4 linked regions of the Caenorhabditis elegans genome follow. The protein of the gene in region 1 interacts with the protein of each later gene in a pairwise test. Each region holds a gene or a part of one and is shown in the gene's direction. Other genes may lie near its edges. The genes, in order: fkh-6, tbx-38, dmd-5 and ztf-30.

Region 1 (8,439 bases):
GGATTCGGGTCCAAAGGAAGCGCCGTTTGAAGGCCAGGCACCGAATGGTACCGGCACTTTCTCTCTCTTATCTCTACGTTTTTTGAAGCGCTGAAGAGTACAACAATCTATAATAGAACAAAAAGTTCAAATAAAAATACAATTTATTGCAATAGAAATTTGAATTTTATAAATTAAAATATGTAATGATAATACATTTGATGTGTGCTTATACAGAAAAATGCAATTTGAGAAAAAAACCCTGAATTTCAAAATAAAGTTCCAACTGGAATGCTCCTAGTGCTCTTTATAATCCTGCTCCTCATTGTCCGGCTGCTCGTTGACCTCTTTATCTGCAACGTCACAGGTTAATTGGAAAGTAACACAAGTTTATCTGCCAATTTTCTTTTATCTTTGCTAACAAAACTTTTGATATGGTTTTTTTTTGTTGCGAAGATGGGGAGAGATTTATGTCCGGTTCGGTTCACCGCACTAAATCATCCCGTTCTAACTACAATTGGACTCTTGCAAGGCGGAACGGTGACGTAGATTTTAGGGGGAATGTTATAAAAGCAAACTAATTAGATTGTGTTGAATGGGGGTAAAGCTTGAAGGTTGTCTAGTTTTCTAGACAGACATATGTTTTTGGTAGGGTCAAATAGAATTGATTCAAAAATAAATTATAACTCGAATTTTGAAATACGCTGAATATGGTTGTTTGAAAAATTCTTAGGTAGTTAAACCTGTTGCCAGGTAGGTAGGCACATTTCAAGGCAAGTAAGCACGCCACTAGTGTTCCAGGCAGGTAGGCCCAAGTAGGTAGGCAAGTTGTCAGGTAGATAGGGGCGCGTTATTAACCAGGTAGACCTGTTCCTAGAGAGGTAGGTAGGTGAATAGGTACGTTGAAACAGGTAGGCATATTATCAGGTAAATAGGCACGTTAGGCACAGATAGGTACTCACGCTATCAAGTAGATAGATACAATATGAGGTAGGTAGGAACGTTATCAAATGGGTAGGCGCGTTTCTAAACAGGTAGGCAAATCTTCAGGTCGGTAGGTACGTCACCAGGTAGGTTAGCACGTTATCAGTAGGTGGGCATGTTGTTTAGGTAGGCGCGTTACCAAATAGGTCGGTACTCCCGTATTCAAGTATAGATTGTCATGATAGTAAGTAGGTAGGTACATAATAGGCTAGGTAGAAATAGGTGGATAAGTTACTAAGTGGGAGGTGCGGTAACAGAATGGTAGGCACATTTTCACGTAGGTAGGCATATTTCTAGTTAGGCAGGTAGGTACGTAATCAAATGTGCCGTTCTGTCATACATCTGCCTGCCTACCAATTTACCTACCACACTTTTTTAGCATGCACACTGTCTGTTTTCGTATTTCAGTTTTTTCATTTTAATATTTTTTGGTAGCTTCTATTTTTGGGATTTTTTTTTAACACGTCCACGACAAATTTCAGATTTTTTCAGCTACAGTAACCCAAAGAAAAAAATAAATTTCCAGTCAAAATGTCACCTTTATTATCGCGATCCTGTGGATGCTTGTCCATTTGTTCTCTCTCCTCCAACTTTTTCACTTTTGCCTCTTCCAGTGTCTGCACCAATTCTCGTCCCAATAACAACTTTTGCGGGATGTGATGTTGAATGTTACCTCGATCGAAGAACAATGGTTCATCAGCCTGAAAATGGAGTAGTTAGTTGACCCTTATGACGGCTACTTTTTTCTCTCTTGTAGACTCATGTGAAAAGAAATACAGGGAGTAAGTAAAAATAGAAACAAGCAAGACCTTTGATCAAAAAGTTTGAAACAATTTGTTGATAAGAGAAAGTCAGACAGATAAGCAAAACAGTGGCAAATATTCAGGTGATTTATTTAAAGTGATATGTTTTCGTTTCAAATGGGAAAATATCTTGTGATTCTGAAACTACACAGAGAAAAATTGAAAGTGTGAAAAAATAGAACTATCTATGAAAAATATCCAATTTTGGAAATTGTTTGAATATTTGAAATTCTGATTATGTGGTGAATTATTTTAAACAACCATTTTTAAAATCACTTTCTTGAGGGAAATTATTATTGATAAAAATCTTTTTTTTTTCGAAAAAATCGAAAATTTTGCAATCAAAAATTTTCAAGTTTTCTAAATTTGTTTCTAAATTTTTCTGATGCTTTGGAAAATGGCTAGTTTTGTCTGAATTGACCGTTTTAGCATTAAAACAAATATTTCAAATTATTTTGGTCGATCCAGGCACTTCTATTCACTTTTCGAGGCTACAGAAAACAATGCCCAAAAATGTGGCTGGAAATTTAAAAAGTTAAAAAAATCCAGTTTTTAATGAAATTAAATTTAAATTAAAAAAAAAACGATACTTGTGGTTTATAATCATTAATTTTAAAACAAATTTGTTTTTCAGAAGTTTGAAAAAAAAAATTGGAAATCATTTTGATCTACTATTTTGCCAATTTTCCCTATTAGCCTTGCGCCGACATTGCTCCACTTTGACGACTTATGTCTTGGTTCACTTAGATTTTAACAAAAAATGATAAACTAATAAAATGTAGAGAATTATTTTGGGAGTACTTTGCCAGTTAATAATTTTTGATAAAATCAAAAAGAGCTGAGATATACGCTGTCAAAGTAAAGGAAAGTGCCTGGAAGTCTAGTAGAAAAAATACAATGAATGAAAGGTGACTAAAAGTCGCTGGAAAGTCAAAAAATATGGTCAAGTTAAGGATTAAAAAATCGCAAAATTTTCAGAATAATTCCAGATTACTGTAACGGGAGTACTGTGTACAACAAAAAGAAGCACAAACCTTCTGATTCCTGCTGAAATGTGCCGTCTCATTTTGCGAGTAATGCTCGATGGCTCCTCCCTGTAAAAAGTTGTGTGTAATTTTGTGTTGTAATACAAATATTCTCCAATCGTCGTCGTGTTCTCCCTTTCGATTTTTCGTTTATTTACAAAATATAAAAAGTAAGAGATGATCAGATTGGATGTTTCTGTTTCCCTTTTACCAGTGAATCAGCACCAGAAAATGTCAGGAGCACACAGGGGGGAGAAGGAGACAGTGTGCACAATCTTCTTCCATTTCTTTCCCTCCACCCACACCTCCGTCTTCACAGTTCCGAGACCCCGCCCTCACTCTTAGCTTCTGCATAATCCGTTGTCTCATTTGACACCCCCTACCATAAAAAAATACAATAATCATGACTCGCCATCAAACACATCTTCCATTTCATATTGTGTAAGTTATGTATTTATTTATTTTATTTATTTATTATTGTTTTTAGAGAGGGAGAGAGAGAGGGGAAACATATTTTCTTTTTCTTCTTCTCTAAATACAAAATCCCCGTTGCAAAATTCTGTTAGAGGCAAAGTTTTGAAAATAAAAGAGCTCTTTCCAGTCAAGAGGGAAATTCGATTGACAAGCCGCCATACAGTTACGTTGCACTTATTGCAATGGCAATCGATGCTTCGCCGGATAAGAGAATGACGTTGAATCAGATTTACAAGGTAACGGGAAGCTTTTCGATAACGTTTTTTTGGTATAGCGGTTTTGGAGGAATTATCATGAAAATTTTGCTAAAACTAAATACTTTTTTGCGGAAAAATACCATTTTAAAAACCCAAAACTGGTGCGGCAATTCAAATTTTGAAGAATTTTTGAGCAAATTTTTCACAATGTTAGCGGAATATTCCAGTTTTTTTTGGACGTCATATTGAGTATTAAAATATGTGCTAGAACTTTCAGTTATTCCTGCAAAAATAGATCTACGAAATTCAATTCCAAAACTTTAAAAATTACTTTTTTTCTGAGAATTTTTATCTCACTTTACACTAACTTCGAGGCTGCTGAAATTGTTCCAAATCCGATTTTTATCTTCTTTTAAGTTTTTCAGGTATAGGCAAACGTTTGAAAGATTTTTTTGTAAATTTCAATTATTTGAAAACTTGAATCATCGGAGTCTATTTAGTCATATAAAACTGATCAAGCCGAGCCATTTAATGAAACATTTTCTAGTTCAAAATGCTCCTTTGAAGCGAAAAATTTGGCGATCATCTTGTAATGACATATACTTCATTTAAAAATCCAGAAAAATATTCGTCACTTCTCCGGAGATTCTCCCTATATTTTTTGTACTTTAAATTGTTTTGAAATTACTAGAAAAGCCTCAAAATATCTGTTATTTTGGAGATTTTCTAACACGATTATATAGCAGTAAAATTAATCTGCTCCTTATTGCTACAAAAAAAACGAAATTCGAAAAAAAGTTCTTAAGGTTCTACATCATCTTTCCCATATCACATTTTCGTACAGTAAGTTTCATACATTGATATTTTTGTTGTGATATTCAGTTGGTTGCTTTTTTTTTCCACCTAGCCCTGCCCTACCGTAACCCTGTCACAAGTGATCTAGTAATGTTCAGTTCAATCTAACTCTGGAAAACCCAACTCACTAGCCAGCACATCTACCGTAACCCACCACTTCCACTCTTCCGTTTTGACTCATCAACCTTAATAGATCTGACTAATTTGGTGTGGGGGGCACCCTGTGCCTCTCCCATAACATTTACACAGTGAACAACTTTTCCTCTCTCCTACAAGTCAATAACAATGTCAATATATATATATATAGACCTTCTTCGTGTCAAGACCCAAAAACCTTAGTATTCAACTTTGACAGTTAATATCTCAGCTCTCGTTTGTCCTAAACAAAAATTGTCTACCAGCCAAATATTTTTTGGTTATTTTTCTATAGGTTTGTAGTTGATCATTCATTGATATCTTTATTATGAACCGAGATATAACCTTTCAAAGTATGTTAGTTTCCTATCAGGCGCAAACAAAACCGATGATGTGTGTTTCAGTTCATCGAGGCCAAATTCCCATATTACCGTGACGCGGACGCGAAACGAAAACAGGGATGGCAGAACAGTATTCGACACAATCTGTCACTCAACGACTGCTTTGTCAAAAAAGCACGAGACGGACAAAGCTGCGCGAACGACAGAAAGGGCAACTATTGGCAAATGGTGGCGGACAATGCGCCTCAGTTTGACAACGGCAACTTTAAGAGAAGGTATGGATAGTGACAAGAGGATTATTATTATTATACACTCGTGAAAAATGACTATTTGTTCATGTATTTACAGACGTGTCAAAAGACTTGGAATCGGAAAAATGGGTTATGCGAATACGACGGAAACTACTGAAACAGGGACCATTCTACAGCAACAGCTTCCGTTTTTCAACGGGTTGAAGTGGCCACAGAATATTCAAACTATGGATCCTTTCCAGTTTTTTAAGGTAAATAATTGCCCAGTGAAGATTTTCGGGAATCTGAACGCTAACGCCCCATGAAAAATTCGAACAGGCAACAAATTTACGAAATTGTACTAAAAATATTGGTGAATCTGTAGTAAGCTTATCGTTTAGCCCCAGAGTCCTTACTAGTTAGTTGTGAAATTTTCGTTACAACTCTTATAAAATGAAGCAAAGTTGCTTTATATTCCCAATTAAAAATAATTTTATTAATAATTGTTTTTCCAAAAAAAACTTTCATGAAAATACTCAAAACTCCGAGGAAACTGTGCCAATCTCAAAAAGATCTTAAAGAAATTAGCGAACTGTGCAAATATTTCACAAAGACAACTATGCCTGCTTGTAAATTTTAGATCATAGGCAGGCATAGGCAGAAAAATATAAAGTAGGTAAGTACGCCTGAAGGCGTGCCTGCCTACCAAAAAAGCCCAAAAAGTGGACTCCATGCCTTGGTCTACTTTGACAGCTTATATCTTGACTCCCTTTGTTGTTATCAAAAATTGTCAGTTGACAAAATATGGGCAAAATATTTCTCTACATTTAAATAATGACAATTATTTGATAAAATTTCAGGCAACCATGATATAAGCGGTCAAAATAGAGCACAATCGGGGTGCAGATCTAACACTTTCAATTTTTCAGTTCCAATACCCCAACTCCATCACTGATAGTGCCAACACCTCCCAAATCAACAACTCCTCTTCCTCATCGTCATCATTTGATACCTCAATTTACACAAGCGCCTTCCCAATTCCAACTTCTCATTTCGACACAAATCTAGTGGCTCCATCTCAACCACCACCAGTTGTGTCTGATGTAGAAGTTGTACCATCGGATACTGTCAAAGAGGAGGTTCTAGTTGATATGAAGCCATTGATCCCTGGGATTTCAAGTACAACATTCTTGACAAGTCTTCAGATGACTGATCCGAGGAGTATCGAGCAACAGGTTAGTTGAAATTTTCAAAAAATGTTTTAAATAAAGTTTATGCTACTTTTTTTTTAACTCTTGCAGCTTAATGGAGAAATTTTGAAGTCGGTAAAAATTATGCTATCTCCACTTTTTCTCCTATCTCCACTTTTTCTAAATTTTAGAATTTTCATAACTAATCAAAAACCCTCCTAAAACTTATTCCAGCAACTGCTCTCCACTGCAAGCAACATGTACCCAAACGCCTTCATGCCCCCTTATACCAATTGGTCCTGTCAACCAACAACCACTTTCACGGGATTATCATTTGATGACCCATCTCTCTATGGTTATGGACAACAATTCCCAGCTTCATCTTAACTTACCCCTGTCAACTGCCTGATCCTCGTTTCGCACTGTTTCAGTTCCTCCTGGAATAAATTTTTTGAAATATTTTGGTAATTAATTTCAGATTACCTTCAAGCTAGAATTTTCATCCGAATAATTATTCTTCACCTTCTCCTCCAAACCTTCAATTTTCTCTTTGAGACCCGCAATTTCTTGTTCATATTTTTCGATTGTTTTCTTCGAATTTTCATCGTTTTTATTGTTTTCTTTTTTTTGCTCTTTTGGCTCTTCTTTTAAAGTCTATAAAACATGAATTATGGTTTTAAAAAAATTTCAAATCTTACCTGACAATCCGTCAACTCCTTCTGGCACGTTTCTTGTTTTGTCTTCAACCCGTAAATTTCTGACTCTTTTAATTTAATTTTGCTTAAAAATTTGGTTGATTCGGCGTGGCGGGATTGTAATTCAGCCTCGATCTTCTTTTTGTGCAGCCAGATTACTGAAAGAAAAAAACAGTGATTTGACTTTTAAAGTGTTTTTTTTTCAGTTTTTTTTTAATGGCAGATCTACTCAATTTGGAGGGTTTTTCGAAGAAAAAAAATCACCGATATCAATTTTATTTATAAACTTAAGTTTATAGTACTTATTATTTCAAAAACTAATATTAATCGGAATTTAAAATTTACCAAATAAAAGTTGGCAAGAAAATCTAAGTCTCTGAGAACAAAATTTTGGTAAAATTTTGTCCAAAAAATTTGTAGTCTAAATTTGTAGTAAGTTCAAATTTTTTGAGATCAAACTGTGACCAATAATTAATTTTTTTCGAGAAAATTTTTCTGCGAGAAATTTAAAAAATCTGATTGAAATAGTTTTAGCGGGAAATTCGAATGTTCTTAGAAATAAATTGACGGAAATTCAGAATTTTCTGAAAATCGATTGATGGCCTAACTTCAGATTTTTCTAGGCCACGTAAACAATGTTAACTAGAACTTTTTCTAAGCTACATATATAATTTTTTAAAAACTCAGAAGACCTACCCCTCAACTTTTCGAGAGCACTTGCGTGCTCTTTCTGCAACATTTCCACTTGCTCATCCTTCCTCCGAATCTCATCAGAATACGATGCTTCTCTACGATTCCAGACGTACAAAAAGAAAATGAACAGAAAGAGTAGGACAACTCTTAAACGATTATTAGGTGCGCCGAGCAGCGACGGCATCAAATTGCTCTTCTCGTCGGCATGTATTGGGTGTGAGTGTCTGAACGAATTATTATGATCTTTTTTTTTCAATAAGAAATATCGGAAATAAAGATGAAATTGACGCGAGAAGACATACTTCAGAGCCACACGAACACGACGGATCATTTCACGAGTTATTAGAGTTGAAGGGAAAATTGGAATACACCACAAAAAAGTTTGTCAAAGAGGAATTGGATCGAGAAGAGGGATTGTAAAACTGAAGGATTAGTACGTTTACAGGTGCGGAGAGGGAAAATTCGGAGGTTTTTTTTAATTTATTTTTTAAAATTTTGACGGGAGGATTTTTCAAATTTTCACCATAAGAGCTGAAAAATTGCGAAAAAATAACTTTCAAATTGGAGATTAATTTTTTTTTTGTTTTTCTATTTTTCGTACTTAAAAACGTCCTAAAAATCCGAAAAATTCTTAAATTCAGGAAAAATTCACAAAACTATTCCAGAATGAAAAATGAAATCTAAAAAACTATGGAGACCAAAGTAAATGCCACAATTTTTGCATAAATTTCCATTGTGAACTTTTGGTTTTTTTAAGGAAGTGGGGAAAAAATCTAGGAAAACAACAAATTCCTAATGAAAATTCTGAAAAAATTGGTTTTCTATTTGGAAAAATGAC
Region 2 (6,696 bases), on another chromosome or scaffold:
ATGACTTCCAATGAGTGACCTCCACGATCCACGTAGTCCCCGAGGAAGAGGTATTGAGTTTTTGTCGCTGCTCCGCAGGCCTGAAAGGGAACATATAGAACAGCTTAGCACACATGCAGTTGGTATGGTAGGCAGGCAGGTAAGGACTTACATTGAAAATACGAAGCAAGTCGTTGTACTGCCCGTGGGTATCTCCACAAATGTTGATCGGAGCTTGAAGTTCCAAAAGAGCATTTGCAGCCGGTTTTGGAGGGCTCATAGATGTGGTTGCAGATGCTGAAGCAGATGGTGCAGTTTTCTTGTTCGGTGGAGATGTGTAGTACTTGAAGACACGTGTCAACAGCACATGGATCTCTTTTTCCTGAAAAAAAGACATTAGGAACGTAGGTAGGCATGGAGGCAAATAGACAGGCAGGGGCGTGGGTAGGTAGGCAGGCAACCGCTTAGAAACGCAGGGATGGTGCAGGTAGAGAATAGGTAGGAATGCAGTGGTTAAACATTTAGGCAGGTATGAGGCAGGCAGGTAAATATGCAGGGATGATTCAGATAGGCAATGGGAAGGCATGTAGGCAGGCACAGGTGAAGCAGGCAGGCCGGTATAGAGTCTCCTTTACTTACATCAAACATAATGGCTTTCGAGAATACAGGCTTCAGAAGTTTCTTGATCATATCGGTCAACTTGAATCCCTTCTCATCGGCCTCCGTGATATGCCAATTGTTGGCTTCCGAACCCGGTTCAACGGAAGTTTTCTGAAAAGGTAGAGGCATTTTAAAGAATCATCTGAATTTCCACTTACCTTTGGAGCATCTGTTGCAGCAGGATTTGAAGAATTCGAAGAATTTGAACTCATTTCGTTTTCAATTCAAATTGATCCCTTTGAAGTGTGAATTATCAATTAATGAATTTATTTTCTTTCTATTGATTTATTGATTTTGATGATTTATTGATTGACCATTGCGATAACAATTGTTTTTATTTTTGACGCGAACATTTTTAAATTGTTTTAAACTTGCGTAACTAAATTGTTATTAAAGTTGTAAACTATCCAAAAATTGTAAATTTTATGTTCTACATTTTGATAGTTGACAACTTTTTTATAGCGTTTTTTTTTTTTTTTTGTTTTTGACGCGAAAAATTTCTTTTTTTTTTTGTAAATTTTTTTCAATAATTTTTTATTATAATTTTCGTGATTAAATTGTTATCAAAGCTATCAAAAAGTTTGTAAATCGTTTTCCAACTATTCCTAAATTCCTAATCGATATTGTTTTTTTCTTTAATTTTCCAGATGTCCTCCAAGTTTCCCACAATATCGTGTGTCTTTCGTTTTCCAAACCACGTGGCGTACCATACATGGCAGAGAGTTGTGTTACGGCTCAAAGACATGTGCCGCTTATACTTTGCTATAAAGTATTTTGCCAAGTGTTTCGAACCGTTTTTGAACCGTTATTATTACTTGAAAAATCTCATATTTGCAGTAAAAATTACTGGAAGAAATGTACATTTAATAGTAACGTTTAAGTATGAAGCTATTGAAAAATGTATGAAAAACAAAATATAAAATTATTTTTATAATCAATTTCTTGTGTTTCTAACCAATTTCAAAATGCACCAGCCCTCCCGCTGAGCCCGACACATCTTCTCCTTCCGAGCCAATTCAAAACTGCGCACCGCTATCACTAGAGTGTGAGGTGTCAAGGTGTGGGTGGAGGTATACTTTTGAAGTGTGAACTACACATTCTAGATTGCTGAAGACCATAGAGATGCTCAGTTGGAGGAAGAGGTGTTCAAGAATCAGACACCAACATTGGCTCGCAGTTTAATGAGTGTTCCGATTTTACAGTTATTTTGGATATACTTCGCGTGTGATCCTTCTAGGTCATTATTATATTGGTGTGAATTCAAAAAGCCTAAGCCTATGCTTTAGCCTAAACCTGAGCCTGAGCTGAGGTCTAAGCTTAAGCCTGAGCCTAAGCCTAAGCCTTAGCTTGAGCCTAAGCCTAATAAGGGATGGGCGGCGAACAGGCTTTCTTGGTGAACGGCGAATTCGGCGACTTTGCCTATGCAGTTTTTCCAGTTTTCCAGGTTTTCTCTGAAGGTTTTTTCTTGTTCAAAGGTGTAAGCCTAAGCCTAATTGTAAGCCTAAGCCCAAGCAGAAGCCTGACTGAGCCTAAACCTAAGCCTAGGCATAACTCTAAGCCTAAGCCTGAGCATAAGCCTATGTCTATGTCTAAGCCTAAACCTAAACCTAAAGACTAAGCCTAAGACTAAACCTAAAGACTAAGCCTAAGCCTGCACCCAAGGCCGCCGTGCGCTACATCTCCCATGGCCACACGCTCATATGTGCCAAGTTGTGCTCCACTTGCCACGTGTCCACCCCTACGTGTGGCCCAGCCCCTTCCGGCTCCGCCCACTTACCGGCTCAGTTTTACAGAATTAGTGAGAGTGGTTAGCACTTTTATTACAATTAGATTTTTGTTGCTCTACTTCCGGTCTCACTTTTTTGTGCTTCTGTTACTCCTATAACTCCCCCTGTTACAGCATTACCATGTACTCGTGCACCTCCCCATCCGGAATTAAAGTCTCCTTGAGCACACCAGAAATTTGGGAAGAGTTCTACCCGAAAACCGAAATGATTGTGACGAGAAACCGTGGAAGGGTGATTTTTCCGCATTTGGACTATATCATCAAGGGATTGGATCCAGGCAGTCTCTACTCGATTTATATTCATTTGGAACGTGTTGACGGGATTAAGTGAGTTGGGTTAAAAGATAGAAAAAAATTTTCAACTGGTAAATTGTAGAAAATTAAATTTGCTACAATTTCTAAATTGACAACTTTTTGATAGCTGGTATACTTTCAGAGTTATAACCTATAGGACGATTCCAATTTCAAAAACTTGAACTCATTTCCAGATACAAATTCGACGCAGGAGAATGGAAAGAATTCGCCAAAGGAGATCCGATTCTTCCAATCCAATACAAGGAGCATCCGCGTGGCAAGCGTACTGGAGCAGAATGGATGAGTGAGCCCGTCTCGTTTGCTCACATCAAAATCACGAATAACCCGGAAATCAAGGATCAGAAGGTCATTTTAGTGCAGAGTATGCATAAGCACATTCCAGTGGTCACTGTTAAACAGGTCCGACATTATAAGACAGGGTATCAAGAGGATTTTAGTGGGGAGCAGTTCCGGTTGGAGGCTACTGAATTTATGGTGGTCACTGCTTATCAGGTTAGTTATTTGAAAGGGTGTGGGAAATTAAATTTGCAACAATTTGTTGAAAAAAGTTGAAAACATTTTAATCGCGTCACTATCAACGGAGATGAAGTAGTTTAAAGTTGGAGAGCATATTTTCAAGTTTCCAAAACTGTAAATTTCGAAGCGCTATTCCAACTTTTCAAATCAAAAATAAATGTAGACATATAGAAAGCATCTAATTCAAAATTAAAAAAATACTGAAAAACTTGCCGAAAGTTGCCATTTGCTGAAGCTTAAGCTTAGGCTTAGGATTAGGCTCAGGCTTAGGCTTAGACTTAGGCTTAGGCTTACGCCATTATACAGGAAAAAACCTTCAGAAAAAACCTGGAAAACTTAAAAAACTGCATAGACAAATTTGCCGAATTCGTCGTTCGCCAAGAAAGCATGTTCGCTGCCCATCACTGATTAGCCCTAGGCTTGGGCTTGGGCTTGGGCTTAGGCTTAGGCTTAGGCTTAGGCTTAGGCTTAGGCTTAGGCTTAGGCTTAGTCTTAGGCTTAAGCTTAGGCCGCAAATCGACTTTTTCAAAATATTTGTCGAGCACGTCAAATTCGGTAAATTTATTCGGCATGGCAATTTCGGAAAAAGCATTAAGTTTTCATTAAGTGCCGGATTGAAACTACGCTATTAAAATTTTGTCAACTAAAAAATAAAAAAATGTAGCAAATTCAATTACCCACAACTAGAAATTTTTCACCAACTACATACATATATTCTCTACAAAATTGTACCCTTTTCCAGAACGAAATCCTCAAAAACCTCAAGGTTCATCACAATAAATTTGCATCCGGATTTCGTTCGAATGGCAAGAGACGGCTTTCTTCAGACTCTGAAAATTCTGAAAACTCTCCGCCCAAACGCAGCAAATTGGTAACCCCACCGACAATCTCACCGCAAATAGATCTCCCACAGCAAACCCCGTATTATTTCAACCAGAATTTTGTGGCTCCGCAGAACTACCAGCCACAGTTTGCAAGTGCTCAGAATTACAATTTCGAAGTTCAAAATAATGCTCAATTAGCTTGGAATATGTATTATCAAAAACAATACGAGTTTTGGTGGCAACAGCAGCAAATGATGATGCCAGGACAACCACAAGAGCTCAAAAATGAATTCCAAAGTTTGTGAATTTTTTGTAATATTTTTATACCCCCTACCTATTGCCTTTCTCCCCCTTTGAATATTGTACTGCACTGATCTCCTGGATTACTATTTATGTGTCTCATAAATAACAATTGAAATAAACTTTATTAATATTTAAAAAAAATCAAATAGTCCTCGCGGAAGACTGCGCCACGGACAACGTCACCCCAATCGAGACACTTCTCTGCCGCCGCGTCACAAAACTCCTATATGGTGCAACGTAGTAGATCGTTAGAATCGGATCGATGAGGCACGGGATGACGCAGGTTGGAAACGGCACGAACTCGGCAATCTCGAACTCGATGTGGATTCGCTGGAAATTTTTCAATGGGCTAGGCGTGCCTGCCTGCCTGCCTATCTCACCTGCGCCACAAGGAAGTATGCAACATTGGGAAGAAGGCATACCATCGGGAACATTGCCTGCATTGTGAGTGCCTGGAAAAATTGGAAAGTTGCCTGCTTGTTTGCCTACCTACTAGGCAGGCAAGCCTACTCCTACCACTCACCCTCACCAAATCCAACGACGATTTCTTGGTTCGTTCACTCAAATGTGTCTGAACTTCGTTGATTTGATTGAAGATCTGATGTCTCCAGTACAGAATGAAAACGGGCATCATGTAGGGAATTCCCATGAGAATTGTGGTATTGATAAGATAAACCAGCCGAGTTGTCGACTTGAAGCCTCCATATTCGCCGAAAGTATCTAATAGGTGATAGTTGGGATACGATCTTTCCGTGTTCAGGGTTACTGTAGGGAAGTCGTATGGAGGAATTAAAATTGCTACCTGAAAATTTTGGAATTTATTTAGAAAGTGGTCCTAGTATTAGGCTTAGACCTAGGCTCAGGCTCAGGCTCAGGCTGAGGCTCAGGCTTAGGGTTAGTCTTAGGTTTAGGTTTAGGCTTAGACCTAGGCTCAGGCTTAGGCTCGGGCTCAGGCTTAGGGTTAGGTTTTTTGGGCTTAAGCTTTGGCTTACGCGTAGGCTTAGGCCTAGTCTTGATGAAAACCCTGAGAAGAAAATCATGGAAATTTCCTACTTCCTAAGCGTTTCAGGAAATAGGACAAGAAAACCCAAAAATTTGAACCAAAAGAAACATTCAAGATTATTTTAGGCCACGCCCATATCTTGGCTAACACTCTTCACTTACCAGCATTCCAACAGAAATCACCAACGTTACTCCGAAATTTCGACTCAACGCTAAATTCTCGCACTTTCCGTGACAAATCAACGAGTACCGATAGTACATGGACAATAGTATTGAGAGATTTGTGGTGCAAAGAAATAAATTATAAAAATTATAACCTATGAAGGCAATCACAGGAGACGCATGCCGAAGAGGGCCATATGGTACCAAGGCGACCGATTCGCCGGCGCTGATGATTCTGGAAATCGGGAAATTCTGATAACATGAAATTTTTTTGATGCGAAATTTTCGTCGACTTTTCAAGTAGTTTTTGTTAAATTTATATATTTCTATTTATATTACGAGAACACAAAATTCTGAGAATGCGTATTGCACAACATATTTTACGCGCAAAATATCTTGTAGCGAAAACTACAGTAATTCTTTAAATTACTACTGTATCGCTTGTACTGATTTTTTTTGAAATTAATCTTTTTTTCCTCCCGTTTTGCCTAATTTCGATATGTACTCCACACGGACAAACACATTTAGTTTTACAACTAAAACCGAGCCGCGACGCGACACACAACGCGCCGTAAATCTACCCTGGCCGTGGCTGAGTCGAAATTGCCTAGTTTGGCAAACTCTTCCATTTCGAAATATGAGGAGAACCAGAACACCTTTTATTTCAAATTTTAACCGCCGGTTTGCTATAAAACCCACCTCATTTGTAACAAAAACGAGAAAACGATGAGAAAAGTCTCACTGATACTGGTGTAGAGCAGAAGTAGTCTGAAAATAGGCTTTAAAAAATGTTCATCGGCACCTAAACTCACCTATACGCGCTGAAAGACACCGGCGACTTGAACCAAATCAGGAAAATCAATAGAAAATTCAATGGCAACGCGAAAATCACATAGGCAATGTAGTAGTAGTTTACAAACATTGCAACGCTCTCATCCATTAGGTAAAAGTTCTAGAATTTTTTTGTCCATTTGAGAATTTGTTCTGAGATCAAATTCCAAAAGATGAAAGTGCAAGAGACCATTAGAACTAGTTTAACTAACTGGCATTTTTTCAGTAAAAAATTAGAAATTTTTGAAAAAAATGCACTTGTTAAATTGGACCAATAATTAATTCAGGTTTGCTTTGCTAAAATTCAAAGTTTGAAAC
Region 3 (6,820 bases), 1.4 Mb from region 1:
TTACATAATGGGAGTTTGTTTCAAATATTGTGCAATTGGAAGATAATGAAGTGGTGTCAACAGACACTGTCGGTGGAATTCAGAAAAGAGGTGTGGAATCAACTGTATTCTGACACCTACTTCAATGGGATTACAGGTGCAGTCTTACGCGGATTATGGTATTGGATCGGGGTGTGAAAGAGTAACCGGAAAATAGAAAAGAAGACATTCACTTATTTTTCTGGAAAAAAAATTACCTAGAGGTATTCATATTGGGTTTTTCATTAAACCAGTTCATTTTAACAAAATAAAAATTCAAATAAAGAATCTGAAGTATATTTGTTAGTTAGTTTGAAAATTATCATTTTTCTTAATTAAAAAAAATCTCAAAATAATTTTCTTTATTGAATTGTGTATGAGCAGAAAATTGGTGCGTATTTCTGAGACTTATATAAAAATGTAGAAAATTGATTGTTAACTAATTAAGCAGTTGAAAATTTATTTTGAAATTTCCTTGTTTCCAATATGTGATTGCTCGAATGTTTAAAATTTGGAAAAATGCGGTTCTGGCAAAAAATAAACTTCAGACATTTCAACTTGTAAACCTGCTCGCGGAATTGGCCGACTTGGCTTAAAACAAAGGAATTTATCTGTTAACTTTTGGTTCGTAACAAAGAATAAATTACTTTTTTTTTTCATTTATTTTCCTAGAATCCACGATTTGAACCGGAATATTCAAGACCCCCAGGTCCTTAACTTCTTTTTTCCCTGAACATATTTTGTAAATCATATTTGACAGAGACATATTACATTCACAACCTTTGCCTCTTGAGTTGAAATCGAAAACAATTATTGTGAAGAGCCGAAAATGCACACAGATGCTCTCAACACCTTCAGTGGCTTCTTCAATTTCTTTTCAACAAATCATCATCATCGTTTACATAAATATGTATTTATATTCATCCCATCATTTTCTCCATTGAGCATATTGAGCACAAAAGCATCACAATGCTTCTTGTTTACAGTAATCGCGTGAAGAGGATAGATGAAACTAAGGGAAGAGCTAGTACACATTAGTAGAGACTAATATGTCACACCTGCAAAACAATCTTACTGTAGAATTAGGATATAAAGTGTTTCTTAATACCAGGAAGCAAAGAAAACATCTGCGTTGAGTGCACTGGGTGGCAAAATGTTTTTAGATGATGAATAAATGAAATCAGTTTATTAAATGTTGCATGTTTTTTCGAAATTTTATCACATGACTGAAAAACAATTGAAGTTGAAACAGATGAAAACGCTGTGATATTGTTAGTAGAGTAAATTTTCTCGCAAGTTTATCTAACTTTTTCTTAAATTCCTTGCGCATTTTCACAATTTTTTCGACCTTCACGGTTTTCCAACTTTCTCATGGAGTTCACCAGAAAATGAAGATGTGCATGAAAACACTGAAACAAAATACTGAGTTAGTGAGTTGTAATAGTGAGTTGTAAAACTGATTATTGACGGCTTCTAATAAAAATGGTACACGATCAAGTGGATTCAAAAATGTTCACAAAAAGCCTAGTTTCATAGGACTTTCTCAAAAATTTTGTATGCCGATATAATTTTGAAAGAAGTCGTTGACAATTTAGGTTATTTGAACCATTTTGCGTATATTATAGGAAAAAGGTTAGAAAAGTTACTCTTCAAGATATTCAAAGTCAGAGTTCAAATGATATTCGGGATGTGAATTTCTCAAATTAATCGATGTCGGGTGCTCATTCAGAGCAATGTTTTCAAAATTTTCGTTATTCAAAGTCTCAACGACGACTTTCCCTGGCGAGCTCACCAATGAACAATTAATCTTATTCAATGTTTTTACAGTTAATGTTCCAGACAATTTCAGCTGTTCAGTAGAATTCAGACAGGAAACAGGTTCATTTTTACACGAGGTGTCTACGTTTTCTGATAGATCTGCATAGGTTATTATAACGTTTTGGAGTGTGCCAGAGTGTATCTGTTATCTCCAGAATTCATTGGTAATTAAGTTAAATTTTGCACCAAACCAGGAAATTTGTGGTTCTTATGTATCTGTTCTTGGACGTTAAATTCGCGATCACTACTTCGAAAATGTACGCTCAACCCCATGCTTACAAATTTTACTTGAGCTCTCTTGTAATACACTTGTTCAGAAGTACACCCGTTCTCTTCTCTATCACAGATTACCTATTTTCATATTTAATGTGTAAAAGGCCATGCCGAAATCCAATCAAAACACAAGCATGAGCTTTTGCATTCGCAAATTCTAATTACAAGGGGGTGTCCACAACCAACACTCTTCTCCATATGTTATGATTATTGTTGTTAGCATACCCTTCCTTAGCCTCTTTAATACGTTTTGCGGTAATTTAAATTAGCATCTCAATCTCTACTAGTTATTTGTCATGATACCTTGTGATTATTACGCGGTTAGGCCCGATGCTTTTGTGGCAAACTTGTAATTATTCTGATGTTTAGAGAGCACACGATTTCAAATTGCAGCCTCTAAAATTGGTGTGTACGCGAATCTAGTAAGATGTAAACTTTATTGAAAACACTTTCAATTTTATTCTAAGAATTTCTTGTTGTGGTGGTTGGCAGGTGATTGATGGCTCGTGATTTGGCATATGGTGATGATATTGATTCCATAACTTCCATTCAAATCTTGAGAGAAGTTGCGCTACTTGCAGCAGGATAGGAATGTGTTCACATTTTTTGAACAAAATTAAAGTTTCAATGTTTTGTGGGTACAGTTTTTGAAAATGCATATCTCCAAGCGTCACCATTTTTCAACTCCGGAATTTTGAAATATGGCAACCATGGCCTAAAACAAAATGCAGGTCAAGTGGCTTATTTGATTTGATAGTCCCTACTCACTATCAGAAACTCGCCACACCTTCTCAAGAAAGGCTAGAAGCTTTTAACCAAGTTTAGCCAACTTTCGGTAGTTTTTCAGTGCTCATTTTTGGGATCATCCAAAATTTAACCAGCTTTACCTAACTTTTGCAACTTTTGCGATAACTTGCTAAAGTTGGTTGAAACGTTGCGACATACTGTCGAGTTATAGGCGATTAAGCAAAGAGCAGTTTATCCAGTTTTTTTCGATTTAAAACTATTTGATTACCGTATATTTTCAACATTCCTAAATATAGTGCCTTGTTATACACCCACTTGATTATTACCAAATTACTCAATGTTTTCTCACAGTCTCTTATTTTTTCTTTTCCTTCTACTACTATCTCTGGATATATCTGTTTCATTTGATCCTACAGTAACCCCTCTTTCCCCGACACCCTCTTCACAAAGGGTGGAGCTTCTTCCGGTTGGTGGTCCGCGCGAGCACTGATCGAAGAGCAAAAGGGGTGGGACTTGAGCATTCCTTTTGGGAACCATTACCTCTCATTCTGATATTATAACATTTCACCTTATTCACAACAAAATATTTTAAACAGAATGCCTGTTTCTCCGTCGTCAGTATCTGTGCTACCGCCAACTAGCCTCGAACAGATTCTTCGAATTCGTGCAGAGAGGAATCAAAGGACTCCGAAATGCGCGAGATGTCGGAATCACGGAACTACTTCTGCATTGAAAGGTTCGTATTTTAATATTCCATCAAAACAATTAACCATATTCATCAGTCTCATAGAATAAAAAATAAAAACCGAGATTCAAGCTGTCAAATTAAGCAAGACTACCAGAAAAATCATTTTGTTTAATCCTTAATCGAAGTACAAAATTTTTTTCAAGTGCATGTAATAGTTCCAGTAAAGCTTACTTCAAAATATAAGGGGACAATAACACTCGATGCTCCGGCTTCTGTTAAAACCATAAAATAAGTTGCTCTATAAGAACTTTCAATTTTTGGAAACACATCACCGATCTTGCCATCTTTGCGTGATTTGTGCTCTCGTGGAAAATCTAGAATTTAAATGTAATATTCCATAAACTTTCCAGGTCACAAACGTTACTGTCAATGGAAGGATTGTATGTGTGCAAAGTGCACATTAATTGCCGAAAGACAACGAGTTATGGCTGCTCAGGTTGCTCTTCGTCGTCAGCAATCTCAGGAAGAAAGAGACGCAAGAGATTTGGAAGTACTTCTGGGTTCTGCTGGAAATGGTAAGTCAGCTTATTTAAATATTCGGGGATTAAGCTGTGGAATGCTGGTGCTGAATCAGTGCATGTGTTTTTCCCGATCAAGTATTTCCGGTCATTTTTCATTCAAGTTGTGTCTTGAACAAGCTTCCCGCTGTGCTCGAGGTGCTAGACTAACTATTGGGTAACCTGACACTAATATGACCTATACTTGTTACAATACTAATAGTTCATTAGGGTCATCTTTGTATGCTCACACACCTTCTACAATGACACATTGTTCTCTTTTTTTATAGAATAACACGCTAACTTTTTATTTAATTTCTATTTTTTAGCGAATGATCTCCTCGATATTCTTCGTCTCGATGCCGGTGAACATCACGGGAAAAACCACGCTTCTCCGACGACCAACAACAATAATAATACTGGTGAGTCGACATGACAGCCTGTTCGAGACAGAGAAATGAGAGTGCGCTCTCTTCTTCCCGCAGTAATGTGAAGGCTACGGAGCGCCGCGTCGAATGGCCAGCACGATGGCCGAGTGGTTAAGGCGTTGGACTTAAGTTCCAATGGTGGATAACACCTCGTGGGTTCGAACCCCACTCGTGCTAAACTTTTTGCGTATTCGGAAACAGGTGCACTTTTACCCCATCTCCATAATCCCCGTACCTGGTTGCGTAAGTCAATTAGCTAGAGAGCACTGTAAGCTTTACGAGAAGCAGATGCATTTGAGAGGGATAAGCTATTCACAATATTGATGGGATTAATCTAGATTAGCACTTTACAAGTCAATTGCTCTCATTTAAAAGATTAACCTTAACTAACCTTGCACTACCTTTCAGAAGAAAAATACGAAGACTCACAGGGACAACGGAGTTCACCAAGCTCTCCAACAGGTTCTGAAACTGTTGTAAGCACTTCTTCCCCACCTGAGCTCTCATCTGAATCAACACCAAATACCAGTGGCTCAGTGATTCCAACAAGTCCAGTTTTCAAACCAAATGGATACTCTTCAATGCCAATGTTCAATCCTGTGTATGGAAGACCATTCATGAGATTTCCGAGTAAGAGAGCTTATTCAATATTATTTCGTAAATTAAACTTATTTTCAGTGTTTTCAGTGATGCCGCATTTCTTCGGAACTCCATCAATGTCAGATTTCGCATCTGCTGCGAGCCTCGCAGCTCCACCAGCGTTCTTCTCAGCCCAGCCAACAATTGCCACGTCATCACCGAGCACAATTTTCCCACAAACTGCTCCATTGGATTACAGTCATCGTTTAATGAAAAATGAGGAAGCCGAAGAAGAATACCGAGAAAATGATAAAACATTTTGAGAAATTGAATATTTTTTCTTATCGTCAGAATCAGAGTTCCAATACTTTGTATATTTTTATATGGTCACATTTAAAATTGTATTTATGATTTGTCTTCAATTAAAAAAAACTAAACTGAATAAAAAATCTTATTAAAATTGAAAAAGAAGTAGAAAACATTGAATAGAAAGATTTTTCGGTGGAAAATGAGCGGGGGGAAACACTTGAAGTTTGAACGGGAAAAGCAGTGTATTATGAAAAGAATTGCAAACGTTTTTGTTCTTTTTTTGATGTTTTTTAAAATGAATTTCAGATTAGCGATTTTAAGTGAAGAGTCTTAAGCAAATCAATTCAATATTTTGGTCAGTTTTAGGCAGTTTCAATGAATCAATTTAAAGAAAAAATGTCGAGAAGGTCTATCATCAAGAATAATAAGAAAATTATGGACAGAAACTAGAGAACTTGAGTGATTTTGGGGAGTTGTTTAAAAGAGAAAAAGTTGTTTAAAAATAATGAGAGCTTATTGTCCGGATTGGATGGTCTTCTGGGTGTGTGTTGCACGCTCCTCTCCATCCTTGTTCACCAATGACGTCACAACATTGGCTCCGATTCCCCAGGTGTTCTCTCCATCGAAGACAAGAGACTCTGGTGGGTTGTTGATGCCTCCTTGGTCACGGGCGTAGATCTGGAAATTTATTGGAATTGGAATATTCTCTTTTCGAAATTATGTAGATTAGTTTCTCAGCAAATGCGAGAAACCCTTAGACTAACCCGAAACGATTAAATTTCATAATGAGACCTCTCAGAAAATGTTTCCAAATTTCTTATGGTGGCTCAAAACTTGGGGAAAACATTTTCAAATTTCTAAAACCTGTAACTCTGATAAAGAGCATTAGAGAAATAACAACTGATTTTCCGATATTGCTACATGGACAATCTCACAAAATTTCAGATTTTAGCAAAATTTGGCCATTCCCTTTCAAAATTTTTTTTTTGGAAATTTTCAGGTGAAAGTACGTTTTTAACGGGCTTCAGACTATGTTGGCTGGGTTTCTCAAAAATATAGTGGCAGACTAAAAAAATACTAAGAATATTTACATAGCTACACACTTTTTTCTAAAACAATGATAAAAATAACTTACGGTCAAGTTCTTTCCTGGCTTGATAACAACATTGGCTGGAATGGAATAGACAATTTCGCGTCTTCCATCCAACTTTCTTCTGATTTTGTGCTCACCAACATTCTCATCCTGAAATAAAATTTTCAACATTTCAAAACCAAAAAGCTTCAACATACCTTGTTTCTGTGCGAGTTCTCAAGCTTGATGAACTTTCCATTTGGATCACACTCGGAAATTGTCACATTTCCCTTGGCGGATCTTTGGAAGGTGGTCTTGGTGGATACCTCAC
Region 4 (7,377 bases), on another chromosome or scaffold:
TCTTAAAGACTCTATAGGAATAATTTGACGAAAAGATTAAGGGTTCTACCTTCCAGTAATTGAGTTACCTGCACAATTTGCCTGCATCTCGATTTCAATATCTTAACCACAGTCTTAGATATTTTTAAAAATAGATTATAGTCTTTTAATCCTACCAAAAATACAAGATTTCAAATAAATAAAATCCTACCAGCTACATTTCAAATCAAAAATAGTTTCTTGTCAATATATCATCCTCAGACACATATTTCCCTAATAAGTCAGACACGGGCCCGGGATGAAAAAACACGTCAAACTACGAAAGAGAAACAAGCGGATTACTATCAGATTGTAGTTTTTGATGCGACGTCGGCATTATATATTTTACCGGATTTTAAAGAGTCAATCCAATTTCATTCTCATTTTTTGTCAATGACTAATTGATGGGTCAGAAGACGGCAGGGTTTTTTATTTCAAAAATGGTAAGCATCATCAAAGATTGCATATTGTCATTCCGAATGATCTGTTGATTGAGCATTTCGATGCTAAATCTAGAAAATCCTACAGAGTGAATTTCGAAATTTTGCGATCTTCCTCAAAGATCTTAAGTCTCAGGAAATACAAGGAAAGTACCAATATTTATATTTAGACATTTAGTCTTATTTTTGTGTGACAGGCACAAGGGGTTTACATCAAATTTTTCTTTGTGTCCCCAGTTTGCAATATACTTACAAAATGAGAAAAAATAAACTAATTGAAGCCGAAAATTTGCGAGCGAATTTTCAGCTGAACCATTTTAACTGGTTTTTAATTTAAAAAAGACAATTTTTGGTTTTTAAAAAAATTGGGAAAAAGATGACCCAGTTGAAAATTTTCTATTTTTTCCTATTTCAAATGAAACTACCATTTGTGGCATTGCTAGTTAATATCGAAATTAGTAGTTATAATTATTAAGCTTTAATATGGCGGCATGGAACTTCCAGACTACTGAACCAGGTAAAATAGGAAAACGATGTATGTTTTTATATTGATTACATTGTGGTATAAAAAGAAACTATTATCAGATCTTCCCACCAAACTTCAACTTTATCTAAAATTCTAAAGGAACTTACTTCAAAAAATTTGACGTACTCAACACTTCGGTACACATAGCCATAGCCCCGCCCTTTTTAACTCAATTGCGTCAGAAAACATTTTTTCCACATGTCTTGCCTTATCTCGAAAACTGATGCTTTTTCGATCCTGCACAAATGAGGCTGTACGCGTCGTCACGGCTCATCGCCAAATTCGCTCATCAAATCTGGGAAGCGGCTTAAAACCAATTGAAGCAAGGATCATCTTGTCGATGGGCAGGATATACCATCCGAGTATCCGCCTATTTTTTTTCATTCGGGCCAACTTTTTTTTGCTGTTAATGAAAACTAATACGGAAAACTTTTCAGGAACACTAGTGAATATGGTGTCATTTCAGAGGTGTCAACTTTTTTCCAGAAAAAGGAAAGTTCCAAATTAGTAGTTTGTGAACTTCTATCACTCTGAAATGGAAATGTTTCCTTCTGCTAATTTTAAGGATGTATTTTAACAAGTAGCAACCCAACTGCCGGAGCTTATGTGTTCGAAATAATTCAGAACCCATTCCCCACTGCCTTCACATGCTTACAATTTATTGAGATTTTCTCCCCAATTCTAGCACATTTTTTTTCCAAATTCTTTACTTCCACTTCATCTCACCTAGCTTCTCCTGGAAACCTTACGTCATTCCTCTAGTCTGTATCTCTTATTCTTCTATACTTTCTCATCTTCTCCGGTTTGACCTAGTCTTTGCGTATTGACACTTTCGTCTTATTCCCTTCAATCCATTGCCGTCCGTCTTCATCTTTTTTCCGTCTTAGCCGTCTTGGTGACGATGGATAATTAGCGGAAAGGATAGGTGTATTGACAGTTTGACCTTGTATAGTTCATAGTCACGGGTTGCAACATTTCGGTGCCACGTCATTAGGCTTATTACAAGTGCCTAGTTTTAATCTAATGTTTATGGTCTCTTTTTGGGATATGGGAACCAAGTAAACTGAAATTTGCACGGCTTTTTCATTTGTTAAATCTAGAAAAAAGTCCCTAAAGATGTGCCTTTTTTGCAAACACTCCCCCGCGATTAAACTTTAAACCTACTTAGTTTTCTTATGCAAAATCCATCATTAAACCTTTTTTGCTTCACTTTCTTAGAAACAACTTGTCCGACGATTTTGAAGTACAAACCATAAACTTTCTTCGAAGGATTTTCTTTGGATTTTAAAAACAGGTCTCTCAAAAAAGATTAGAAGATTATGCTTTAAGATTTGCCCAGATGATCAAACAATGGCTGATGAAATTTTTAAATCTAGCTGTTTTAACCATTTCATAAATTTCAAAACAAGAGACTATGTCAAAACTTGAATACACTAATAATAGTCCAACATGACCAGCATTTTTTAGAGTTTTCTAAAAACTCCAGAGATTGTCTTTTTAGAGTCTCCTAAAATAAGTGAATACTGACAAATTGCCATTTATTGGCTACTCAACGTTCACACTAAGTTCTTCTTTTTTCTACGAAAGAGTTCAAAATTAAAAAACGTCTTCTAAATAATGGAGCAAAGAGTCACAGTTTGGAAAAGCCTCCAAACAAGTTATTCTTGGAAACTGTTGCCCCAAAAATTCTGTAAATATATTAGGTACGCGAAACCAGGCAATAATGTTGAAAGATAATACTACGATTGCTGATTTCAAGCTCCTCCGATTTACTTTTAAAATTTGAAGCTTCTCACACACACGTTCTCATAAAATTCCCGTGCTCCTGCTGCTCCAAAACATTGAATGCAATGATTCATTCGTTATCTGAGTTAATCTACCGTATCCTTGCAGCACATTCTATTTTAGAAATTCAAGTCATTCTTGTAAAATGATCTGGATTTGGGATTACATGACATACACTAAAAAGAGAATGGATCATTCTTACCGTCAGCGTCATTGATCTGGATGCCTGTAGTTAAGCTTTTTTTATTACTTTTTGCATCTTTCTTCTTCCTCCTCCGTCATCATAATGGCCTTTTGCCTGCACACATTGAAAAGTGCCTATGTGCTCAAAATGCTATGAGCTCACACATCTTTTCTTTCATTCGATTTTCAGATTTTTTACTTCCTCATTTTATCTGCCTTTGTATTGTTTCATGTGTCTTCATGTTTCATGATTCAGCTCAAAATCATGCATCTTGAAATGGATATGAAGCTGGAAGACGATAAAATTCATTCACCCACAAATACAGAGGAGGAAGGTTACGGTAGTGACGTGGAGGTTGAGAATGGAACTGATATCAGTGGATCCAAAGGTGGAAGTGGTGTTGAGTTAAAACGACCCGATTTAAAAGGTTTGTAAGTTCTGGGAATTGTTATTAGTCCACCAAATCTGATTAGGTTCTTACTTTTATAATGATTCTGAATTTCAGGTTCGTTCCGTTGCTCAATCTGTTCAAAAGTTTTCTGTCATTCTTCAAGTCTCTCCCGCCACCGTATGCAGGCTCACTTCAAAAGCTACAAATGCACAGTATGCCGAAAAGATATCTCAAGTAAGTCGGAAGTTATTTATTTTTTATTGACAATGAGGTGATCTTCCGAGCATTAAGAAAAATCCTCAATCACAGATTTTTCGAAATTGAAAGAAAGATAATCATGACATTTGATACAAGAATGAGCTGCACATTTGAGCTGAAAAGCTGCTGGAGACAAAAATATGAAATAGAATGAAAACTTGTTCGATCAGGGACTCAGAGAGCTTTTGCTACAAAAATGTATTAAGCTCCAGTACATCTTTTGATTTGATCTCCTCATTTCCCGGGTTTAGCAGGGATACTGTAGAACATTTTGCAGAGCAAAATTGTGCAGTGCAAAACCACTGCTATATTTTAAAGCATCCACCTATAATATTTGAACAAGCATATTGTTTACACCTGAATTGTTTATCACATGAAACACCGCAAGAAACTCGTTTTTATTGTTGTTCGGGTATAAGCATCTGTATGAACAATTATTGTTTACTATCCATCCACTCTCCGGAGAAAGATTCCTCTTGATCTCATTCAATTTTCACTGTTTCTTCATTCTCCGGACGATTGAGGTCATCCGGAGAAATACGAAATAGTGGAGACGCAGACGCAAACACAGTTCTCACTTTTCGAGAACGGGGACAATTGAATGAGGTTGCGCAATGGATGAGAGTGGGGGCAGAAGGGAAAAAAGTGGAGGATTGGAGCGAAATTGTAAGGGGTCAAATAATGGCTTTGGGATAAGTAGACAAACTTTATAGGAGTACTGTATTTGAATTGGGGACTTTGAATAATAATAAAAAACTATTGTAATTTGCAGGTAGTGAATCTCTTCGTACTCATATGTTCAAGCAACATCATATCTCTCGAATGTACATGTGCCGTTGCTGTAATTGGGCTTTTCCTGATAAATCACTTCTTCATATTCATCTACAAACTGCCACTAACAACAATGACAGCAACAACAATAATAATAGTGTCATTCCTCATGGAGTTATCAACAGAAGCTGCCACCTCATTACAGATCCATTCCAGTGTAAGACTATCAGATATGAGATGAACATAAAAAGATTATTGATTTCAGTAATCCGTACTCCACTTCTAAATCTACCAACCCCACAATCCCTTGAATCATCAGTACCTTCTCTTCCAATTGCAAGCATCCCAATCCCTGCTCTTCAATCGCCTATTCGATCTCAACCTCAGACACCTTCATGGCTTGCAAATCTTCCAAAACCCATACCTAGTAAGTTACATACAAAATATTTGTAATGCTTATGATAATATTTCAGCTACGGCACCAATATTTGTAGCAGATTCAAAAGAAAAAATAAAAGATGAAGTGGAGAAGCCCGATGTGTATACTTCACAGTCACCAACTTGCTCATCAGTCAGCTTCAAGTCTGATCTTAGTGCATTCCATCAGTTGTGTTCTGATCGTGCTCTTATATCATCTCCATTGATTGATACAGCTTCACCATCCTCATCATCTTCTTCTTCAAGGATCAGTCCACGTCATGAATGCTTCGACTGCCACGTCAGCAGGACAAAGATATTGATTTCTGAAAATAAATGCAAACTGTTGGAACACAAAATTGGTACGATGCAACAAGAAAGTTTAGAAGCAAATGCCCAAATGAATGGATTGGAACAAACTGTGCTCAGATTGAGAATGGAAGCACACGCGCTCCGTGAGCACAATGAGCTATTCCAAAGGAAATTGTTAGAGTGTCAGGTAAGATTTCAGATCAGAAAGAAGTATTTCAAAATTATTTTTTCAGAATCTTGCCGTGAAATTTCTTCAAAATGACAAAGCTCACGACGCCTCGGAAATGAATTCATTTCTTCGAATTCTCATAAATAACACAATTTTGACACGTCCTTTTTAGAATTATCTTTTTTCCAAATTTCTCTGAAACCTCAAACTTCGCAAGCTTTACTATCATGTTAATATTGTTTCATTTTTGGAGATTTCTCATAATTTTCGCAATATTTTTTACCAATCTCAGAACTATATTTTTTAACTTATTTCTTCCTGTTTGCGGGATTTTTTGCTTTTTATTTCCAAAACAAATATTAAACAAACAAATCAAAATCATCCGATCCGTTGTGTTCCTTCTGTGTCTCCATCTCCATAATTCTCAGTGCTTACGTTGAATATACATAATTGTAATATAATAATAATACATACTTGATATAAATTTAAATGCTGTATTCTACGTTTCTTCCAGGAAATAACTGAAACTGATCAGAGAAAGTCAAGAAAGTAAAAAAACAGTATAGAAAGTTGAATAATGTGTGTTCCAGAATTTTTGGTACTCTTTCAAAAAAAATTTTTTTTGAAAAATACATTTACAAAAGACGTAAACGGATTTCTTATCCAGAATAAACAAATAACTAAATAAATCCTCTGCCAAATATCCATGGTAACTGAAATCTGAGAAAGCTCATTTCTTAGCTCTTTAATTCCAACAAAAAATCGATGTCCATTTTCACTTAAAGCGACCCAAAAATACCAAATTTAGTCATGAGCCTCTACCAATATCCTGAGCTCTGTTTTTTTTAATGTTAAACTCTGTTTCAGCTAAATTCTCAAATTTCGCAAAGTCAGTTTTCATCAAATTATTATTTTTCATAGCAATTTTGTCATTATTTTGTGGGTTGTTTCGTTGATGTGCTGATAGGTGCTCACATTGAACATTGTCATTGCTGTCAAAATTTGACCATTTCAGGAAAAAAAAACTTGACGAATTTGGAGCATTGTTAATTTATCTAGGAAAATTAAAACAATAGAGTATGGGGGTAGAAAAATTAAATAGTATTGAGAAACATTTTCAGACGACGCTGTCAGAGTTATGAAATCAATTCAAATTGCTATTAACATGTTTGATGAACTTGTCTGAACAAGTTTTCAAAATACATACAAAATACAATACATATTCTGTTTAAAAGTTAAAAAAAACATAATAATTTGAGATACTGTGGTATTACGGGACTGTATGGATTTGGTAACCGTGCTGTAAGTTTAGTACAGTTAGGTACGGTAGGGGATCTTTGGAATACCAGACAAGCAGACTATGTTTCTAGTCTTTCATTTTTATCTTCCTATTCCTCCGGCATGCAAAAAATTCCAGTTCCTTGTTACTCCACGTACGTAAGATCGAAATGATGCTGATTATTGATACGACTCTACGAATATGTTTGTTTTATTCATGTCACTTGTTGCAACGCCCTTTTTTCTTCAAATTTATTGAAACGCCCTTTCCTTATCAAAACATACGTTTTTCGATAAAGTGATAAGCTGTACTCCGGAACACACACAAAATACATATTTTGAGCCATACAATTTCTAAAACCAGAGTAAAATTTAGATTCATTGAAAATTTGCTCAATGGAACAGATGAACAAACATAGACAATCATTATTTTATTTTATTTACAATTGATGTCCCTACAGTATTACTGTCCATTGTATTCTTTTATTCTTGTTCGATTTCTTCGATTTCAATATACCATATGCCAATTCCATTTTTCAATAGCATTTAGGTTCTAATCGTACACAAACAAATCCGAATGTAAACTGACCACTGCAGCATTTTTTAAAAGTTTTTCTGTAGCCGGTATGCACTGATAACTACATATCTCTGGGTTTTATACTACATTCCGCAAATATGTATTTGTTTTTGCTCAAAATGCACAATATAGCGTGGCTAGTTTCAACACCGTTTCAAAGTTTCAAAATTTTCAAAATCGATAAAATGAGTTGCGACGTGAAATTTTTTCCCTTAACCATTAAATAGATTTCATTTTCTTCTCTTTTTGAG

The links.
Region 2: the proteins of fkh-6 (region 1) and tbx-38 interact in a two-hybrid assay, tested with the Caenorhabditis elegans proteins (one large-scale study listed by BioGRID).
Region 3: the proteins of fkh-6 (region 1) and dmd-5 interact in a two-hybrid assay, tested with the Caenorhabditis elegans proteins (one large-scale study listed by BioGRID).
Region 4: the proteins of fkh-6 (region 1) and ztf-30 interact in a two-hybrid assay, tested with the Caenorhabditis elegans proteins (one large-scale study listed by BioGRID).

What each region holds. Positions count from the first base shown.
Region 1 is NC_003280.10:4,378,044-4,386,482, reverse strand, and holds fkh-6 (Forkhead transcription factor fkh-6), read left to right. Parts: upstream 1-3,076; 5' UTR 3,077-3,194; coding exon 3,195-3,232; intron 3,233-3,392; coding exon 3,393-3,501; intron 3,502-4,856; coding exon 4,857-5,068; intron 5,069-5,141; coding exon 5,142-5,295; intron 5,296-5,952; coding exon 5,953-6,258; intron 6,259-6,447; coding exon 6,448-6,600; 3' UTR 6,601-6,605; coding exon of another isoform or gene 6,606-6,650; 3' UTR 6,651-6,696; coding exon of another isoform or gene 6,697-6,867; 3' UTR 6,868-6,898; downstream 6,899-8,439. Other genes in the region: B0286.1 (uncharacterized protein), read right to left, coding at 277-332, 1,502-1,664, 2,801-2,860, 6,606-6,650, 6,697-6,867, 6,912-7,066, 7,605-7,647. UniProt on the Caenorhabditis elegans protein: Probable transcription factor. Binds to the DNA sequence motif 5'-[TA]TGTT[TG]T[TG][ATG]TT-3'.
Region 2 is NC_003281.10:11,781,903-11,788,598, reverse strand, and holds tbx-38 (T-box protein 38), read left to right. Parts: upstream 1-2,537; 5' UTR 2,538-2,546; coding exon 2,547-2,752; intron 2,753-2,774; exon of another isoform or gene 2,775-2,854; intron 2,855-2,913; coding exon 2,914-3,232; intron 3,233-3,998; coding exon 3,999-4,385; 3' UTR 4,386-4,517; downstream 4,518-6,696. Other genes in the region: C24H11.1 (Serine/threonine-protein phosphatase), read right to left, coding at 1-80, 152-361, 619-750, 798-851; srd-74 (Serpentine Receptor, class D (delta)), read right to left, coding at 4,525-4,713, 4,764-4,835, 4,907-5,185, 5,548-5,782, 6,247-6,315, 6,360-6,487. UniProt on the Caenorhabditis elegans protein: Transcription factor. Required for mesodermal induction, acting redundantly with transcription factor tbx-37. Together with tbx-37, acts by inducing cell fates in the AB lineage, thereby playing a role in development of the anterior pharynx.
Region 3 is NC_003280.10:5,770,802-5,777,621, reverse strand, and holds dmd-5 (Doublesex- and mab-3-related transcription factor dmd-5), read left to right. Parts: upstream 1-3,401; 5' UTR 3,402-3,453; coding exon 3,454-3,592; intron 3,593-3,954; coding exon 3,955-4,119; intron 4,120-4,275; exon of another isoform or gene 4,276-4,390; intron 4,391-4,430; coding exon 4,431-4,523; intron 4,524-4,540; exon of another isoform or gene 4,541-4,735; intron 4,736-4,937; coding exon 4,938-5,159; intron 5,160-5,207; coding exon 5,208-5,431; 3' UTR 5,432-5,568; downstream 5,569-6,820. Other genes in the region: F10C1.1 (uncharacterized protein), read right to left, coding at 3,202-3,393; Intermediate filament protein ifb-1, read right to left, coding at 5,931-6,095, 6,553-6,660, 6,708-6,820. UniProt on the Caenorhabditis elegans protein: Transcription factor. Required for sex-specific synaptic pruning, probably acting downstream of sex-determining transformer protein tra-1.
Region 4 is NC_003281.10:8,593,702-8,601,078, reverse strand, and holds ztf-30 (Zinc finger transcription factor family protein 30), read left to right. Parts: upstream 1-3,208; 5' UTR 3,209-3,235; coding exon 3,236-3,380; intron 3,381-3,458; coding exon 3,459-3,578; intron 3,579-4,374; coding exon 4,375-4,590; intron 4,591-4,638; coding exon 4,639-4,800; intron 4,801-4,846; coding exon 4,847-5,289; intron 5,290-5,335; coding exon 5,336-5,443; 3' UTR 5,444-5,769; downstream 5,770-7,377.